Lepisosteus oculatus: one gene and its partner. The protein of the gene in region 1 purifies or fractionates together with the protein of each later gene. This does not show direct contact. Links are inferred from orthologs where the notes say so. Each region holds a gene or a part of one and is shown on either strand. Other genes may lie near its edges. The genes, in order: apaf1 and cycsb.

Region 1 (10,405 bases):
CGCGGATCAGAGCGTTGTAGAGAGAGACGTAGGCATGGTTATCCTTCCTTAAAATCAAATCGATCAAGGCGGCCGCTTGCTCCCTCCGGGTTGCCTGTCGGTCGAGAGGAAAAAGGAAATTAAACACAAAGGTACAGAACACAGGGTTAAGAGTAGACCAGGTGAATGTCATCATGCTGAAAGCTGTTGATCTTAAACAGCAGATCTTCAATAGGTTTGCCATGACACCTTGAGAAAACAAATCGTTTTATTTTTTTTGAGCACCTCTGTTACTTTTCTTTGCCACTTTGCGGGACACCAAGTTACACCCAGGGTTACTTTCACCCAGGGACGCCAGTTCATGACAGAACACACACAGTCACACACACTTGTAATGGGGACAATTAAACTCTCAATGAATAGAACTAATGAAGCAATAGCAGAGACACCTGACAACACGCCGAGATGGAGTAAGACTTTTAATCTCATAATGGAAACTTTTAGGCTTCTGACAAGGTCAAAAAATACTGCAACTGTGGAAAATGGAGCAAACTGCAGATATAAGCGCCCGCTGTTTCAGATACAGGACATCATAAAAGAAAGCAGATTATTACTGGCCAGGGTCACAGAAACCTCTCCAGGAAACACAGGTCACAAATCAGGACACCGCCAACTGCAGGGCATACATGACTGTCCTGACTGTACACACAGAGGCAATCAAGATAAGAAGCAGGAGGACACAGGAGTGCCCAGAGACAGAACACGCAGGGCTCCATACAGAAGGCACCCAACTGTAGAAAGCACAGAAACTGAAAGTGCTTGCTGCTCCTCTACTGTGCTACCCACATATCTCTCCCGTGGGACAATGGCAGTTAAACTATTTCACAAGACACAGGTTAAAAACACGTCCGGCGCTCATCACACCAACACAGCAGCGTGAAAAGAGGAAGGAAACACATAGCAGCTCCACCAGAAAATGCACACTGTAAAAAGTGCTGTGACTTGTCAGCTGCTCTTCTTTCATTCAAGGCTTGTGAGGGATCAGGTGTCAAAAGCACTCCTGTTGGGAGAGCCATAAGCCCATTCAAGAACATGGGATGGAAAGGCTCATCAGCTGACTCCAAGATCATAAGAAACGTTGTGTTCTCATGTCTCTGTATGACCAATGTGCACACAAAACAATGAGATCTGCTGCTAAACGGCCTATTCACATTGTTTTCTCATGTCCTTACAGCCTAAACCGCTAACAACTGCATTATTTTTACTTTTTCAGTCAGGTGAAATTTGATCATTACTACTAATAAACTTTTGTGCCGAGTGCTTTTCATGATGTTAAATTCAAGGCTCCTCATTATAATTGGACCAATCAAAAATACCGATATGGGAACACACAAATAACAGCAAATCAAACGAATACAAGTGTGCCAATGAGCTGGAAGACAGGAGCCAAAAGTGCTGACTGTCTTGCGAGATCTGATCCGTGGTGGGAGATCACTTTGCAACCTCGGAGCAATGGGACAGAAAGCAGACCCTCGGGGTCCCCCACAGGGTCCGGAGCCTCGCATTGGGGACTGAAATAAGAGTCTAAAGAGCACGTAGATGTGTAGGGGATTAACACTTCACTCATCTCATGAGGAGCCAAACTGTTCACGCATGCATTTTAGTTTTAGTTCAGTTCTGAGCAGCCTGAGCTGTTAATACGCTGCAACTTGAAAATCATGTTTTGGAAACCCAAGAGAGCACTCTATCAAAATAGTCTGCTAAGACAAAAGCACGCATTAGCTTTTCTGTATTAGGTTGAGAGCCATATAAATGGATACAAGTGATATTATGAACATGATAAATGTCACTTTTACAACATAATGAACATGAGCTTCATATTCAAGGTTTGGATCAAAGACGCCAACATTTCTAACTGGAGTTGCTTAACAGACCAGGACCATCAATACTCAAGCTAAGACTGACACATTCAGTAAGATGTTAAATTAACCTCAGAGGATTAAAGAATATGTTAGCTCATAAACTCTGGGGGGGGGAAGGGTTCCAGAATTACTCTTCCCTTCTTCAATCAGTTTCCCACAACATGCTGTACTTGTGACAGTCAGTGCATTTCACAGGACTGCTGGTGTAGCTTAAAAGCTTGTAAATGAACAGAGTGCTTTATCTACGTTCCAAGTTTAGACCCATGAGGTTTCATGAAGTGAAGCCTGTTGTTGTACCAAGTGGAGTGATGTGAATATGGGATTTCTCTCCTTTCGCCCACAGCCAACCAATCAGAAATGTCACCCAGGATCGAACCTTAAACATCAAGGAGCACTCAAGTCTAGTCAGCTGAGGGACACCAACAGGAGGACTGAATATGGACTCTAGGTTAAAATACCGGAGGCTCAACACTAAGCTTCTGAAAAAGGAAGCACACCTTGGCTTTGACGGTCTCCTCTTCATCTGCGCTGAGCACCTCATCGCTAACCATGTGGTCCATGAGGTAGAGGGCCTTGATATCGTCCTCCAGTTTGGACCTGGAGCACAACAGCCTGCTGCGAGCCCGCTCCTCCATGACCTCTCCGCTGGAAACAACACATGCAGCTCTCACTCCGGCCAGGAGACACCAGCGGCACCAGTAAGACAGCCGACGTCAGGCTGTACAAACAAAAGAAAAGCAACAAGACACATCACAGCAGCTGGCCTATAACCAGACCTAAAGCAGCCAGCAGCTCTGTCACCCTGCAGCTCACCACTGGCAGCCCACTGAAGCCCAGCAGGTGTGAGCCTGGCCAGTACCTGGATGGGAGACTCCTGGGAAAGCTGAGGCTGCTGCTGGAAGAGGTGTTAGTGGGGCCAGCAGGGGGCGCTCACCCTGTGGTCTATGTCAGTCCTAATGCCCCAGTACAGTGACGGGGACACTGTACTGTAAAAAGGTGCCGTCCTTCGGATGAGACGTAAAACTGAGGTCCTGACTCTCTGTGGTCATTAAAAATCGTAGGGTGTTTCTTGAAAAGAGTAGGGGTGTAACCCTGGCTTCCTGGCCAAATTTCTCCTTGGCCTTTACCAGTCTTGGCCTCCTTATAACCCCCATCTCTGAACTGGCTTCATCATTCTGCTCTCCTCCCCACTGAGAGCTGGTCTGTGGGAAAAGTACTGGTGCATCATCCAGGTGGGGCTGCACACTGGTGGTGGTGGAGGAGATCCCCATTACCTGTAAAGCACTTTGAGTGTCCAGAAAAGCGCTATATAATAAGTGTAAGGAATTCATTTAGACTTTGCAGAATTTACACTTTAAAAACAACCAGACTAAATTTGACCATATTAAAAAAGGAAAAGATAAATGTTTATTTGAGGTTCTGAAAAACAGCCAAAGATATTTAAACATATTGCTACAATTATGGCAATTGAGTTTGTGTGCGAGGATCAAATGGCCAGTGACAATTTGCAAAGGTTTTCTTCAAAACGGAAATAAAATACAGATGGCATTAAACCTACCTAATAACAACATTCGGAAGCAGCGCGAAAATAACCTATACGGAACAAAGTTCACTTGACAAGTTTACACTTGAGTCATTTTGAAGTAGTACTGTCTCTTTCACTTTGTGCCTGAACTACTAATATAAGAACATTAGCTGAAAGTTTTTCCGAAGCAATCATTTCTCTTAGCAGCTGATAAAGGTAAAACGCCGTTTCAGATTGAAACCTATTTTCTCTCGTCATTGTTCCAAGATGAGACGTAGTACCAAATCTATCGATTTCTCCACACCTATAGTGGAGACCTGTTTCACTTTGCCAAGCTATTTCTGTATTTCCGAACAAAGCATGCTTTGCATATTTATATTTTCTATTTATAACTAAATGTTACCATATCATACTTTAACTTTACTTAACTTTTACTTTATCATAAAAATAAGACACGTAAGAGGACTGTAGAACTTTTAAAACAGGTTGAGAGGAAGGTCTGCACTACTAGAAAATGTAGAAATTTTGTTTTCTACATGCATGTCAGCATTTCGGGTAAAACGGAAAAAATGCTGACATGCTTGGGCGAAACTGCTGTTTTAAAGGTAAAATTCGTTAGTTGATTTGACCAAAAGAGCAGTCACAACGAAGGAACGGAGTTAAAAAAACGAGGGATTTGTTTCAAATACTGAAGATAATATTCCTGTGAGAAGCAGGCTGTAAATACCCGAGAATGAACTACTCTCTGTACTGAACTGAAAGAGACATTTAAATCAATTGTCGTGAAATTACAGAAAGACCACCGTCAGTTAGCCTTCGAGTGCAAATCCAGAGTACGTGTTTAACATTTAAAAAGTCACCATAGAAACACATTTCCTCTTAGATAGCACCTCTTTTGCATCTATATAAACGGGCAAGGTTTATCAGATCTCAGAACCTGAGATCAACGTCCAAATCGGTCGGGCTGATTATAATGAACTACCAGTTGTTGAATTACATAAAAAATAAATTTCTCACAAGTCCCCAACAAATTAAAGACGCTTACCAGAAGGAGTGTTGTTTTCTTTGCATCTCAATTTCCTCTACATCGTCTATAGTCTCATGTCCGATGCAATTCAGGGTTTCAGAAACTATTACCAGCTCCTCCCTGTTCAGTTTCTGTTTACATGTTTCAAGAAAGAACGCCTCCCTTACGTCAGACCAGTTTAAATGCACTTCCTGGAGTGGAAACAACTTCCTGGTTCGGCCATCCAATTGGCTGCGCGCCCTTGGGTCACATGATACGCGGGGGACTCCGCCTACCTCTGCTGTATCTGGGCAGAGCAGTGAGTTCCATAGGGCAACATGGAATGTGCATTAATAATGTCTTTTATAATGAGACTCTGTATGCTCTCTGTGCATGAAGATAAAGATGTGCAAATGTGCCGATATTGACCCAATGCATTGTGTGATCACCTTAAGTTAATTTTAATTAAACGGCTTAAACGAACGTGGAAATAATAATTACAATTAATTATTTCGCTCATTTTAATAATTATCCCTGAGACCGAGGAAGAGCGTTTATAAATCAAGGTCTAGCCGTTAAACCCCGTCCACCCCCTCGACTCTCACGCCTCGTGGTAGACAGTGTCTTCACAACAGCAACACATTTCATCACCATGGCTCAGACACAGGAATACAGAGCGCTCGCTAAAATACACCAGCTGTATGGCGACCTGAAACAAGATGCGCCCCTTTGACGAAAGCAGAAGACACTCGAGTGGTCTGGGTTCCTCTTGGGCACTATGCTCAGGAAGCAGCCCAAGAGCCCGTGAGACTCTGCGAGGCGCCCAGTACAGGTGAGTGACCAGGTATTTCACTCCCTCACACTGCTTGCACACCTGCTTGTTGTTCAGTATCTCACATACATTGTTTTTTACTGTGGTCCAGTGCTTCTACTGCGCCTCACTTATTAAGTGAGAGATAAGTAACTGGCCAGAGCATACCTTACTCTAAAAGCACGTTTTGGCTGGTATGTCACTGGGAGGTTTTCTTTCCAAACTCAGGCTGCAGGTGTGGGCCTTGGCAGTTGGCCTGACCAGGGTCCGTCCGCCATACACCCATGGGTGCAGATGTGAAATACAGACTACAGACTCTAATGTTCTCATGTCATTTCAGCTTCCTCAATCTGGCTCACAGGCGCAAGACCTCGGAGAGGAGCACCTAGCGTTCCGATGAGACAAGCCGCCTTCTTCAGAGGAAGATGAGCTGCCACAGAAGGCTCTCGGAAGAAATGGAGCTGCCCTTCAGCCATGTGTAACTGGGGACAGCGCAGATAACGCCTGATCAGAATCGGCCTCCTGTATTGGAGAACTGCACTGTTTCTCTGTCAGTAGTCTGTATTTCACATCTGCACCCATGGGTGTATGCCTGGTCAGGCCAAATGCCAAGGCTCACACCCGCAGCCTGAGTTTGGAAAGTAAACCTCCCAGTGACATACTGGTCAAAACGTGCTTTTAGAGTAAGGTATGCTCTGACCAGTTACTTATCTCTCACTTAATAAGTGAGGCGCAGTAGAAGCACTGGACCACAGTAAAAAACAATGTATGTGAGATACTGAACAACAAGGTTTAACTATTTGATTGGACAACAGAAAGATAACGGGTAATGAGATTTTGTCAACTGTTTCAAAATCTCTAAATATCAAAAACCTAATACAATTGGAGAGACTTTTTCATTACATATATACCCCAAAACAGTGGTAGTAATAATAATAATAATAATAATAATTATTATTATTATTATTCCTTACACTTATATAGCACTTTTCTGGACACTCCACTCAAAGCTCTTTACAGGTAATGGGGATCCCCTCCACCACCACCACTGTGCAGCCCCACCTGGATGATGAGCCAGTCCGCTCCCCACACACCAGCTCTCAATGGGGAGGAGAGCAGAGTGATGGAGCCAGTTCAGAGATGGGGGTTATTAGGAGGCCATGACTGGTAAAGGCCAGGGGGAAATTTGGCCAGGACACCGGGGTTACACCCCTACTCTTTCCGGGAAACACCCTAGGATTTTTAATGACCACAGAGAGTCAGGACTGCGGTTTTATGTCTCATCACATTTTACATAAACTCATTTTTACAGTATAGTGTCCCCATCACTATACTGGGGCATTAGGACCCACACAGACTGTAGGGTGAGCGCCCCCTGCTGGCCCCACTAACACCTCTTCCAGCAGCAACCTTAGCTTTCCAGGAGGTCTCCCATCCAGGTACTGACCAGGCTCACACCTGCTGAGCTCCAGTGGGCTGCCAGCGGTGAGCTGCAGGTTGATATGTTAAGAATAAACAATTTGTCCCATACTTTAATACATTAAGTGTGGGACCGACTGAGTGCAAGGACTTGGAACAACCCAGAAGGACCATGTGACTAAAAAGGATGGGCAATTCTTTAAAGCAGAAGGACCATCGTTTGATTAAGCTAGTCGTTCCACTTTAAAAACCAGTTCTTCCCCTAGAACCATAGGATAGTAATCCTTAGGAGTCCTTCTACTTTCATGTATCAGACTGTGTACTAAGTGTACCTCAACAACACCTTGCGTCAAACTTACAATGTTCAGTCATTCATCGTAACTTAAACATTGAATCAAATGGTAAAGATAAAACTCTGATTAACATTTACCTTGCACAACATTACTGAGGTTTATCTCTCACGGTCTGCCCCTACATATAAAAATAGTCAGGCTCTTCCTGTCTACTTCAGCAAGAACAATAACCTCAGACTGTTATTTGTGAATGCACACAGAGACCAAACAGGACAACTGGCCTCCTCTTGTTTGCAATCTTTTCTATGTTCGTGTGAAACAGATGAGCAGATTGAAACTACTTACTTGTTACTATATATGTCATTAGAGAAGAAGTAGAAGAACTTTAATTATTATTACTTAACATTAATAGATCACTTTATATCCCAAAAGCTGGAGAACGAATTAATCTATTGCTGAAGTGCCGCAAACCCTTTGGTGGCAGATGGCAGCCAGTTTTGTGTTGAAAGCCCCGGCACACAGATTATAAAGCAGAAAAGAGAGAGATGAGCCTTCAGCATTTGAGTTAGAGAAACTTCAGAGCCCAGATTGTAAAAGCTCTTGGGCTCTATCATGGCCTGCTAATCAGGACCTCAGCTAAATATCTTAACTGAAGGAAAACACCTCCTACAGGACGGTATCCCCAGGCAGCATACGAAGACTTTAGATAGGAGATTCCGGTTTAGATTCTCCAACCTGTTACTGCTACTGTTCTACCAACATTTACACCAGCAACCTTGTTTGTCGTAGAGGTTTCCTATCTGATAAGTGAGCAGAGCCAGCCTTTCTCAGCTTCTGAGATCAAGTTTTTGGTAACACTTTTACATGTAAGACTTTTATTATGTCTCTAACATTCCTGCATATTCATTCTGGGCATGTCCATTTTTCCCTTTTATCAAGAGATATTCTGAGGGAGAAAGTTCTGAGGAAGAAATTGCTTAAATTTGTAGGCACCGCAATGTGGTCTTTTAAACATAAAGATCTGTGTTTAAAACTTTAAAAGTTCCTTCTTGGATGTCCTACTTTACAACCCTTGTTACTCTCTTAAATATTTAGTGTTGGCTTATGAAAGAAAAAATGAATTATTAATGGAGTATAAAAGATCTAAATAAAAACACAGTTTTGATCCACAACATCCTCACAATCCATATTCCTTACACCGGAAAGGGTTGTACACGGAGAATCAGAAAAATAACTATTACTTTTGACTACAACATATAGATAAAGTCATTAGGAAAATCATTACCCTTTTTGGCACAGATGCAGTCATTCTGTTGGTTAGACATGACATAGGTAAATGTTTTAGACTGAGGTGTATTTGTCATCAACGGGGATGATCAAGATGAGTCAGCAATGAATGTCAAGAGTCTAGTAGTGTGTGTGGACAAAGCACAAGCTGTACATCTGCGACATGGCCTTTTGGCACCAGGTTTTAGATGCTGTCTTGTGGGATTCTGTAAACGAATCCTTTATTTAATTGATATATGAATGAAATGTCCCGATACGGTAAACTCCGCTCACCTGAAAAACTTCCACAGGCACAGCCCCAACACACCTGGCTGAAGCACTTGCCATCAAACATCCCTTGCTGAAACTGCTTTTATTCATTTCTCATATCATATATTTTCTTGCAACATCAAGAGGATTTTTTCCTCTCAATGTGCTTTAATCTGACAAGTAGTTCAAAAGTAAAAAGCGAGCGAGTCCAGGTGTCCCAGGATGAGAGCGGTGCTGAGGGGTGGGCACGCTCACAGCGGTGTGGGGTGCGTCAGGGAGTGCCCCGCTACTCCTGAGCCAGGCTGGGGTGGCAGCTGCAGGGGGGGCAGCCTGACGGGCTGGCCCACCCCACACTCTAGCACCCTGTCCATGGCCTGCATGCGGCGCCCCTGCTGCAGCCAGTAGAGCATCTCGATTTTGTCCCAGCGCATCTTCTCGGCATAGGGCCGGCCCTGAAACAGGCCGAACAGAGCAGTCAGAGATCCGGCGCTGTTGCTGCATAACACACATCACGTCAGTAATGAGCACAAGCACCATCGCAGCGCGCAAAAGGAAGGGCTCAGACACTTGACTTTGTGTGAATAGAATCAAAAAGGCTCATTTTCTGTTGAGAAGGAGGGTAGCGTAAATATGCAACATTCAATATTATGTTTTCATGTAATCCTGAAGGATTTACAAAATGTTTTCTCATCCCCATCACAATTTCTTTTGCGATTATTAGCTGCTGGTTATCTGAATCAGATGTAGTTCAAATTTCAGTTTGTTTTCCATCTGCTGGAAGTGAGCAAGCTTTCATATTCCAAAACAGTGTAAAAACTACACAGTCCTACAGTAGTCTGCCCTGAATACACAGATTTACAGCGCTGGCACTGAGTTCCATTCTAGAGACAGCTAAGAAACAGCATTTCTCCTCACCTGTGCAAGTTCTAACATTTCAGGTGATCCTAGTGGGATTGTTCAGGACAAAAGGGAAAAGCAAGAATATTGAAAAATAGTGATTGCAAGCTTTAAGCGTGTTAATCTACAGAGGCAAAGACAACAGCACACAAAAAAAGCCTGAGTGTGCTTTAAACTTTTCGGAAGCTGAGGACATACAAGTGCCACTTACTTTATATGTGACCGTGTCATTGAAGTGATCTTTGACTCGATGCACAGCCTTCGACAACAGGCTTTCAACAGCGGAGATCTCGGAGTGCAGTTTTCCCCTTCGCTTAGATTCGTCCAATCTTGCAATTGATGTACCACGATACCCTACACAAAATTGATGCAATACTGTACATCATGGTTTGTTGCTCATTTCGCTTTTCACTGCTTAAGATCATCATGTCAAGTGAGGTTCTTACTGGTTTTAAGGGCATCAACAGGACGCTGTTCAATATAGGAGTTATTTTATGAATTACACAATAAAGCTGTCAGAACAGTACCTCGTTCAAAAAACCTGTTGGGATCGGAAGCATTCCTCTCGAATCGCTCCAGTTTAGCTAGCAAGGACTCCCTCTGCTGGATGAATTGGACGGCTCTTTCCCAAGCAGTGGTTGCCTGGAGACAAAACCCACAAAACGCGTTTCTGAATGCTCTGTTTTAACCTGTACTTTGCTATCTGCTCTGAGTTAAGCTCCAGCTCTTCTGTGTGCGCTTTCCGACGTAGGAGTGTGGGAGGCCGACAAGGATGGTTACATCACACTGCGCACTGCGGTGTGCACAGAGAGAGACCGTGGGCAGAGGCACTGAAGGACTGCTGGCAACAGAACCAGGAGATCAGGAAGGAACCCAGTTTGACCTAAAAAGGTGCTGGAGGAACAAGAGGAAGTACATCTTCTGCAGGTTAATTTCTGTTCTTTGAATTCTCGGGTACAAGACAATGCACTTTTTAAATACACAAGGAACACCTTGACTTTTAATTGTGAACTCCTG
Region 2 (9,993 bases), on another chromosome or scaffold:
CGCTTGCTTCCTAAGGGATTGAGTGCACCAAAACCATGCCAGAAAAATGTGTCCCACAGCATTACAGACCCACCCGAACCTGTTTGTACACTGCAACCAGACAATGGTATCCCACCCTGTGTAGTTCACAACAGAATGTATTTGATAAAACAGTCTTCTTGCAACCAGGGTTGCTCATCTGTTTTGGCTTGCACTTCACACAAATGTGTGGATATCACAATCGCAGAGTATGCCCTTTCACGCACTGTTCCCCATTGCCAGTGATATCTTTAGTTTGGAGTTCAACACTGACAGCACCTTAAATGCTGTCACTTTCAAAGTTAGAGCTCCCCTCTTGTTGCCACGGCAGCCGTAATTATAGGCACCCAGGCCTGTCTTACATGTTTGTACCTGACACAAAGAATGCTGGGATGATACTTGCTTACTTAACACATGAGGCACATCTGTATGGAAACCTTTGCTTTTAATCTACTTGACATCCCTGATTACCCAGTGTTTTCCTTTTTTGGTCCAATATCTGAAAAACAATGTATTTGGATAAGCTCCTCCTAGTGGTCTTCTGTTTTTAAGGCTAAACAGATTCACTTCTTAGGGTCCAGAAGACCGCTAGAATATCTTTGTAAGATATTACAAAGATACAGATATTCAGTAGAAACCTGGCAAAATCCTTCGTGGGAACAAGCAAATGACAGAGCAGATTCAATTAACTGTCAAGGTCAGAAGCATAAGAAAAAACAAATTTTAAAAATAACTGATTTAAGTTTTAAAACTTGTGAACACTGAAATGCCAGATATTACATTTTAGTCCTTGCTAAAAACCAGGGAAGAAAGAAACAAATTAAAATATTAGATTAACCTAAAAACAAATTAACTAAATGGATATTGCTGATTAAACCCCGAAGAGAGGCTCTATTAAGTGTATTAACTCTTCAAGGATAAGCAGATCCTGAGGTTATTTCTCAGCCAAGCTTTAATCAAGGCTTTAATCAGCACGCTGTCAAGAAACTACCGTATCATGTTGCTAACATACAACAGCCCCCCATCTATCATAAAACTGAAATAAAAGATGCATCAGTTCAATCATGATAATTATTTTAAAAGATGTACAGCTGCTTTCACAAACTAGTTTTAGAATTTTAGTATTTCCAGATTAAAAGTGTCTCAACTTCACTTTCACCCATGGAACCAGGGAAAAAGTTTACTCCTTCCAATTGGAGGTTCTTTGGAACAATCTGGGTATCATTTTGGTAGACTTATGTGCAACATGCCTTTGAGAATTGGAGGTTGTACCCTTAATTTACAACTTAAGATAATTCAACATAAAACATTTAATAGTGATTCACATAACAGATGAAGGCGAACTACAGAATAATACACTGAGAAAGACAAGACAGACTGTGATTGTTAGAGATTAAAAAGTTTAATATAGTCCACTAACAAAGACATAACATCAAAGCTGACTGTACACTGCAATTAATTTAAGATGAACATTTTCTATTCAGACGTTGCCTTCTTCAAATATGCAATTAGATCAGCCCGCTCTCCCTTCTTCTTGATGCCAGCAAAAATCATTTTGGTTCCTGGAATATATTTCTTCGGGTTTTCCAGGTATTCCATGAGGGTATCTTCACCCCACACAATGCCTGAAATTTAAACAGGAGAGAAGAGACATTAGTCTTGCAAACAAGAGGTTACTGCATTTGTGCAACAGATACAGCATATAATCCACCTACATACCTTTGTTCTTGTTTGCCTCCGTGTAAGAAAAGCCTTCTGCCTGGCCCGTCTTGCGCCCAAACAGACCCCACAGGTTTGGGCCGACCTTGTGCTTTCCTCCCTTCTCAACCGTGTGACACTGCGCACACTTCTGCACAAAAACCTTTTTTCCCTTTTCCGCATCAGCCATGATCCCTCCCTGTTCAAACAAGAAAAGAATAAACATTTAAAATCATCCAAAACAGCTGACAATGTTATGAACCTCAATATTTCAGAATGGATTTGTGACAGCTTATATGAAACTAAACAAAGTGGAGCTCTTTCAAACTACAGACACATCCTATTTTGAACATGATAAAGCCAACAGTTATCCTTTAAGAATAAAGTATAAACCACAATTTGTAATTGACAATATTGTAACATGATAAAATCTTTAAAACTCCTCATGTCCTGAAGGTGATAAAATTCTGGTAAAGGTCAACTTCTGAAATGATGTGTGAACAGCTACATTTCTTTACAAACATTTTTATGACCAAGTTAATATAATCTGACGATCTGCTACAGGAGTAAGTTAATCAAAGGTGACTAAAGACAGCTTTTCAAGAACAAACATTCGAATTAACACGTTTAAGATGGGATAGAGTTGATTTAATCAAGTCACACAATCCTATTGAAGTACACCAGAACAATAACGACCTTTAAGGAGATTTTAAACTTAAATATAAACTGTACAGTTGATCAAGCCTTCCGTATTTGTCATTTTCTTCTTTCATTTTAAAGTCCGTACTCCAATAAAAAGATTAATCCACCTGTTGGAGATGTTTTTAATGACAAAAAAGGCGATACTCGCTTACACGCCTTTAAGGCCACTTGCACTCGATTAAGCGACAGAACTCAGTAAGCTTCCGGTGTGATCCGAATGAAAGCTTCAATTTTACACTAAATAGAGAAAATAATTGGACGGTATTTATAATTGACATATCATCTATCTTTAAAGAATAAAACACTCGTGGACTCTTTCTTCAGTGGTTTCACATTATCGACATGCCGGCCTAAGAGCGCTCTTCCGCAAGCCTTTTTTGCTCACCTCCAACAAGGACACAACATTTAATATATTAAACGACTCGTAACTTCAAGATGCTCAAACGTAACATCGATGGGGAAGAAAATAAGAGGAAAAAGGACGAAAAACACAACAACATTCCTTACCTTTATGATAAATCCCAGAACAAAGAACCTTATGCAATGCACCACCCGCACCCTCTCCAGCCGGTTAAAGAAAAACTTCACAAATTACTAGAAGGTCACACGATTTACAGACGCGGATAATTGACGTCACAGACTAGCGCAAGCCAATCATGTGCTCCATGCCAACCTTCCTCACAGTGACGAAAACAGGGGAGCAGTTATAGCCCGTCCTTATATGGGAGAAGAGGATGGGAGCGTGTGGGTGATCGGTTCAGTGCGAATTTAAAGATATCATAAAAAACGAAACCATTGTGCCACGTCCGTGTTCTGTTTCTGATACCTGTAGGGCGGATTACGTGCAGGGAGACTGTTCTATTGCTAGCAGGGTTACTAAAGTTTAAAAGAGTTTGATATTACAGTGTAACAGTTTTAACCTTTAAATTAAAAATGTACATTTGACACTGTGGTGTTATACCCAAATAATTTACCAGCTCCTTCATCTGTTTTTCATTACTTTGCGTGTATCTAAAACAGTACCGATCTCAAGGTTAGTGTGGTGAAGAAAGGACATTTAATGGACATTGTCTATGTTGTGGCATTGCGCAGTTTTTGTGCTGTTGTCGGTGAAACGTTGACACGACGTTATTGTAAAGAATCCAGTTGTTATTACCAGATATTGAGTTGCCAAGAGAGCAAAAATGCATCTAAATATGTCCGGAATGAATCAGAAAGCGACAAGGATGCATTTAATATAATTTAAAAAATATTCATGGTACAAAGAACTAACATTTCCTAATTTAGAATTTTAAAATGCTGTTATAGATTCGGCAATAACAATGATAATGGAAAAGGAGAACATGCAAATAAAACCATCGTCTTAGATCTATTTCAGAGGGGCTATAAAACCTTAACACACATGTCCCTTTTCAAGAGCTAAACATTCTTATTTCATGCAAAAATCAATCTTAAGAAGCCGCTACTCCATGAGATATAATAATAATACATTGAAAATATTCAACAGATATAACCACAAAGACCCCCAAATGCATGACGTGTGTTAATGAGCAAAACTCAAAGTTGCGAAATGTTATTTTGGACGACCATAGGGTTGCCATTCCAAAATATCTATGTATTGGCTTCTCTGTCCAGGATTTGTTAATTAGCAAGGCCAAATGTCTATTTTTAAGATTATGGATTCATAATGAGATATGCAGGTTTGAACTGCGGAAAACGAGACAACTGTAGATTGGCATTATGCAATAGAAAAGTACATGGTCGAGTAGAATAATGAACATGAATGTGTTTCATGTTTGTCAATAAGCAAATAACACACATAAGCCTTTGAAGTCAGCCATTAAACAGTGGGTAAATGGGTAGTCTGGCTGGAGAAGAAAAGTTCTTTTATATATAGATAAAAAAAATCAGTTTATCTGTAAAATAAATTACTGTAATGCAATATTGGTTAAGACCAATGTCTCTGCTCTCTATGTAGAAAACTGCTCCCAGGTATGTGATTAAGTTTGCTGAAGGTCACTTGATGGTTAAGCTACTCATTCCTGTATTTTTTCTAAGACACAGGATTATAATGGTAAGGAAGGTGATTGCCTTTTTTTCTTTTTTATTGACATCAGCATACCAGAAAATTGCTGTCTTCACTTGATTAATAGAAGAAATACTGTATGATTCATTGAGCAAAAACATGTACAGGCAATTGTGTCCCAGAACACAACCCAGGGATGAGAAGAGATTCATGATAAATGCAGGTGATTTTGCAGTTTATTGTTTAACAATTCACCAGTTTTTAATGTAGGTCACATGGATAAATGGGTAAGTTAAAGAATTAAAAGTAAGAAAAAAAACACCAACACACAAGCCAGAGGAAAAAAAAGACTTGACACAGGTGTGCAAATTATAATGAGCTCTTTACTAACTCTTGCCTATAGCAAAATGCATCAGATAGAAGTCTGATGCATAGATATTTTGGAATGGCAACCCTATGGTCGTCCAAAATAACATTTCGCAACTTTGAGTTTTGCTCATTAACACACGTCATGCATTTGGGGGTCTTTGTGGTTATATCTGTTGAATATTTTCAATGTATTATTATTATATCTCATGGAGTAGCGGCTTCTTAAGATTGATTTTTGCATGAAATAAGAATGTTTAGCTCTTGAAAAGGGACATGTGTGTTAAGGTTTTATAGCCCCTCTGAAATAGATCTAAGACGATGGTTTTATTTGCATGTTCTCCTTTTCCATTATCATTGTTATTGCCGAATCTATAACAGCATTTTAAAATTCTAAATTAGGAAATGTTAGTTCTTTGTACCATGAATATTTTTTAAATTATATTAAATGCATCCAAGAATTATGAATTATGCAATAGAAAAGTACATGGTCGAGTAGAATAATGAACATGAATGTGTTTCATGTTTGTCAATAAGCAAATAACACACATAAGCCTTTGAAGTCAGCCATTAAACAGTGGGTAAATGGGTAGTCTGGCTGGAGAAGAAAAGTTCTTTTATATATAGATAAAAAAAATCAGTTTATCTGTAAAATAAATTACTGTAATGCAATATTGGTTAAGACCAATGTCTCTGCTCTCTATGTAGAAAACTGCTCCCAGGTATGTGATTAAGTTTGCTGAAGGTCACTTGATGGTTAAGCTACTCATTCCTGTATTTTTTCTAAGACACAGGATTATAATGGTAAGGAAGGTGATTGCCTTTTTTTCTTTTTTATTGACATCAGCATACCAGAAAATTGCTGTCTTCACTTGATTAATAGAAGAAATACTGTATGATTCATTGAGCAAAAACATGTACAGGCAATTGTGTCCCAGAACACAACCCAGGGATGAGAAGAGATTCATGATGACACTGCAACTTTGCCATGGCCTAGATAAGGTTTATATGTACAGTATGTTACACTCCAAATTGGGAAATGCATCTCATGGGATTCCTTGATACAATGAGCTGCTGGCAGATTTTCTGATCTTTTGTGCCAGGACTTCTATCTGATGCATTTTGCTATAGGCAAGAGTTAGTAAAGAGCTCATTATAATTTGCACACCTGTGTCAAGTCTTTTTTTTCCTCTGGCTTGTGTGTTGGTGTTTTTTTTCTTACTTTTAATTCTTTAACTTACCCATTTATCCATGTGACCTACATTAAAAACTGGTGAATTGTTAAACAATAAACTGCAAAATCACCTTCTGCAGAATGATACAAAAATCAGTTAATAATTTCACATAATAGCTACTACATCCCGTTTTACGGTTGCTGTACATTTTTATTTGGCTGACACTAACATCCAAAGCAACTTTACATTTTTACCTGTTCATATAGCTGGACATTTCCCTGGAACAATTTAGGTGAAGTACTTCATCTAGGGGTACCATAGCAGTATCTCAATTAGGATATGAAATCACAACCTTTCACTTACAAAGTTGGTCCTGATTTGGTCAGAGTTCTGACCATTGCTCCAAACTGCTGACCTTACAGAGCAACCCCTGGACACCCTATCGTCTCAGCATGCAACTGTCCCACAACTCACATCTCTGCCTTTTTCGACAGCCTTATGAGACCGCTGGTTGAAGGGCTTCCTTCATATATCAAGGACACCAACCATACCCTCTAACTTTTTAATGATTTCCAGTTTCAGGGCCCAGAATGTTACATTTTTACCATGGACATCACATCTTGTACGTCTTGCGGAATTGGTCCTCACACTGAATGCTTTCTCATTCAATAACCTTTTTTATGAGCAGGTTAGTGGAGTCGCCATGGGCACCAGGATGGGACTCAGCTATGATATTTTTGTCGGCTGGGTAGAAAAATGCTTCTATGCTGCCTACACCAATGTTGTCCCCAACGTCTACATTGATGACTGCATCGGTGTCGCCACATGCTCTAATGACCAGCTAGAGCATTTCCAGCATCACTTCATCAACTTCCACCCATCCCTCAAGTATACAGTTAACATATCTTCTTCTATTCCATTTCTAGACATAAACCTATCCATTAACCAACCACGACTCTACTTCTGTCTATTACAAACCCACAGATTCACACAGCTATCTCTTGTACAGCTCATTTCACCCCACACAAACTAAAAATTCTCTCCCTTTTTCACAGTTCCTAAGGCTCTGACGACTTTGCAGTGATGACATGGATTTCCAAAAACATCTTTTTTTCCATCAGCAGAGGATACACCCATGTTATTGACAGGGCCCTCACCTTAGCCATAAACAGCCCTCATATCATCAACTCAATCAGGAATTTCCAGTCTCACAACTGCATTTCATTGGTGCTTCCCTGTCACCCTAACATCCTTTCTATCACCAGGACCATTAACAAAAACTTCCCCATCTTACCGGATGATCCCTCCACTGGTACCATTTTTTATGCCTGCCCCACCATCTCATATTTCAAACCACCTAATCTGCCTAACATTTTTGTTCACAGCTCCCTTGTCCGCCCTCAGCAATCATCCACACCAGGCACTTTCCCCTGCAACAGAATTCGCTGCATAACCTGTAAATACGTATACTGTATATCCAATACCACACACATTCAAGGCCCCTCTGGACAATTCTGGATCACCCAGATGACATATTGTACCTCTAGCAGCCTTATCTACTGGATCTCTTGCAGAAAATGCCCAGCTACTGTATCTACATTGGGGAAACAGGAAGGAGACTGGGAGACCGCTTCAGGTAATATGTCAGGGCTGTGAGGATCAAAGATCTCTCCAAGCCCATAGTTTCTCATTTCACCTCCAATGGCCATGATCATACTGATCTCTCCGTCTGCGTTCTCAAAGGGGAGTTTCTACGCTCCTATTGCAGAAAGACATCTGAAACCAAAATTATCCTTCCCCCTTCTCTCAACAACAGACACATTTCCTTCTAATCCTCTCTCTTCATTTGCAGGTTTTCACTTTACACCTGTCTTCACCTCTCTCGACATCTGAGTGCCCACTCTGCCTTTTGTTCTCCCATGCTTTATTATCTATTGACTTTCCTCTTTTTCTCTCACCTGAAGAAAGCTACACAGCCAAAACGTTGTTGTCATGATTGTAGTCCCTCCCCCTTAAGGGTGCTCCAGCTCTTTCACTTCTGGGTTGATTGTGGGAACCTGCCCCCTGTTCCAGCCTCCTATTCAGCCCACCTTAAAAGCCAGTCGCTCACTCTGTTCCGGGCTCTGCATTGGTTCCTGTTCCAGGGGAGTCCGGGACTTGTAGTGCCTGGTCCCGTTCCCCCCCTTTTCCCCCTGACCGTCCACCGAATCCCCCGAATCCCCCTTCGGTTTTTAATCCCATTTGTCTTAGTCTCGGATGGACCACCCGGCTCTGGACATTTGCCTCATCTTGGATTTCCCTTTGGACTCCCTTTTGGACAGTTTGCCTTGGATTCACCCCCCAGAACACCTGCGCACCATGGACACACCCCCTGTTTTCAATCCTGACCCCTGCATGCTTTTTTCCCTGTGTTTTCCTCACTCTTCCTCAGATTGTGTCATCTGCATAGGGTCCTGAAAGGACGCATTCATTACAGTTGTGTTTTTTTTCTTCTCTTTTCAGCATAAACCTTTACTTTTTCCCTTACAGAGCAATGCTCTTCATCTGATAACTGCATTTTTGTGGATTGGTTTCTATTTTATTTTCAATTTTTTGTGTTTATTCAGCAAGTATTCAACAAATATGTCCATCTGCAGGAACTTATTCCGGACTCGAACGTTACCATCGGCGGCTTTCAGACGGTGCGGGCGGACAGAAACACCGAGAGCGGTAAGAGGAAAGGAGGGGGGCTCGCGGTGCTTGTAAACAACAGATGGTGTAATCCTGGACATATTCATGTTAAGGAGCGCGTCTGTAACCCGGACATCGAACTGGTAGCCGTAGGACTGCGTCCATACTATCTGCTGCGGGAGTTTACATGCGCCATCTTTGTTGTTGTTTACATTCCACCTACGGCAAATGCAGAGGTAGCGTGTGACGTCATAAACACAGTCACAGGCAGGCTACAAACAAAGCACCCAAGCGCTTTTATAGCTATTTCAGGGGACTTTAACCACGTATCTATTTCCACCACTCTGCCTACTTTCCACCAGTTTGTTAAGTGCCCGACCAGGGAAAACAAAACACTGGACTTATTATATGCCAATGCTAAGGATGCATATAGTTCCACAGCCCTTCCCCCCCTTGGCAGATCAGATCACAACCTTGTCTTGCTTACACCACTATACAAGCCTATTGTCCAGCGCCAATCTGTGACCATGAGGACTGTGAGGAGATGGTCTCAGGATGCTATGGAGGATCTACGTGGTGCTTTGGAGGCCACCAACTGGGATGTGCTGTTCGAACCACATGGGGACGACATAGACAGCATGGTGGACTGTGTCACTGACTATATTAACTTCTGCGTAGACAACACCATCCCCACCAAAGACGTACACTGCTTTTCAAATAACAAACCCTGGATCACCAGCGACCTGAAGGCTCTTCTGAATGACAAGAAGAGAGCCTTTAGGGGGGGAGATAAGGAAGAGGTCAAGCGTGTACAGAGGGAGCTAAAGCAGAAGTTAAGAGAGAGCAAGGACGCCTACAGGAGGAAGGTAGAGGACAAGCTGCAAAGGAATAGGGTGAGAGATGTATGGAGCAGCATGAGAGAGATCACTGGCTTCAAACAGGCTGGGGTTGCAACAGAAGGGAACCTGGAGATGGCCAACGAGTTGAACCAGTTCTTTAACAGGTTTGATTCTGGGTCCTCTGTGGCGCAACACCCATCCCCCCACAGCCACACGCTCCCTAACCCTTCACAGCTGCAACTGCCCAACACCTCCTCCATCCCCCCACAAACATGGCCGCCTACAGCTACAAGCCCCGACGGCTGCTCACCCACCCATCCCCCACAGCTGCCACTCTCCAACACCTCCGCCATTAACACCTCCAGCACTGAAAGCACTATGAGCATCATCCCCCGGGCCAGGCTGACCATCACAGCTGACCAGGTGAAGAAGGAGCTGAAGAGGCTGCACGAGGGTAAGGCCACAGGACCAGATAACATCTGTCCCAGAGTTCTGAGGG

What was found.
Region 2: the proteins of apaf1 (region 1) and cycsb purify together in Homo sapiens (affinity purification with western blotting; 3 studies listed by BioGRID and IntAct, with this or other methods). This does not show direct contact. The link is inferred for Lepisosteus oculatus from reciprocal best matches to the Homo sapiens genes APAF1 and CYCS.

What each region holds. Positions count from the first base shown.
Region 1 is NC_090702.1:55,217,439-55,227,843, reverse strand, and holds the start of apaf1 (apoptotic protease-activating factor 1), read right to left. Parts: upstream 4,612-10,405; 5' UTR 4,472-4,611; intron 2,620-4,471; 5' UTR 2,537-2,619; coding exon 2,399-2,536; intron 95-2,398; coding exon 1-94. Other genes in the region: ccdc87 (coiled-coil domain-containing protein 87), read right to left, coding at 8,743-8,943, 9,600-9,742, 9,916-10,030. UniProt on the Homo sapiens protein: Oligomeric Apaf-1 mediates the cytochrome c-dependent autocatalytic activation of pro-caspase-9 (Apaf-3), leading to the activation of caspase-3 and apoptosis. This activation requires ATP. Isoform 6 is less effective in inducing apoptosis.
Region 2 is NC_090707.1:17,826,822-17,836,814, forward strand, and holds cycsb (cytochrome c), read right to left. Parts: upstream 3,035-9,993; 5' UTR 2,926-3,034; intron 1,916-2,925; 5' UTR 1,907-1,915; coding exon 1,738-1,906; intron 1,644-1,737; coding exon 1,495-1,643; 3' UTR 1,402-1,494; downstream 1-1,401. UniProt on the Homo sapiens protein: Electron carrier protein. The oxidized form of the cytochrome c heme group can accept an electron from the heme group of the cytochrome c1 subunit of cytochrome reductase.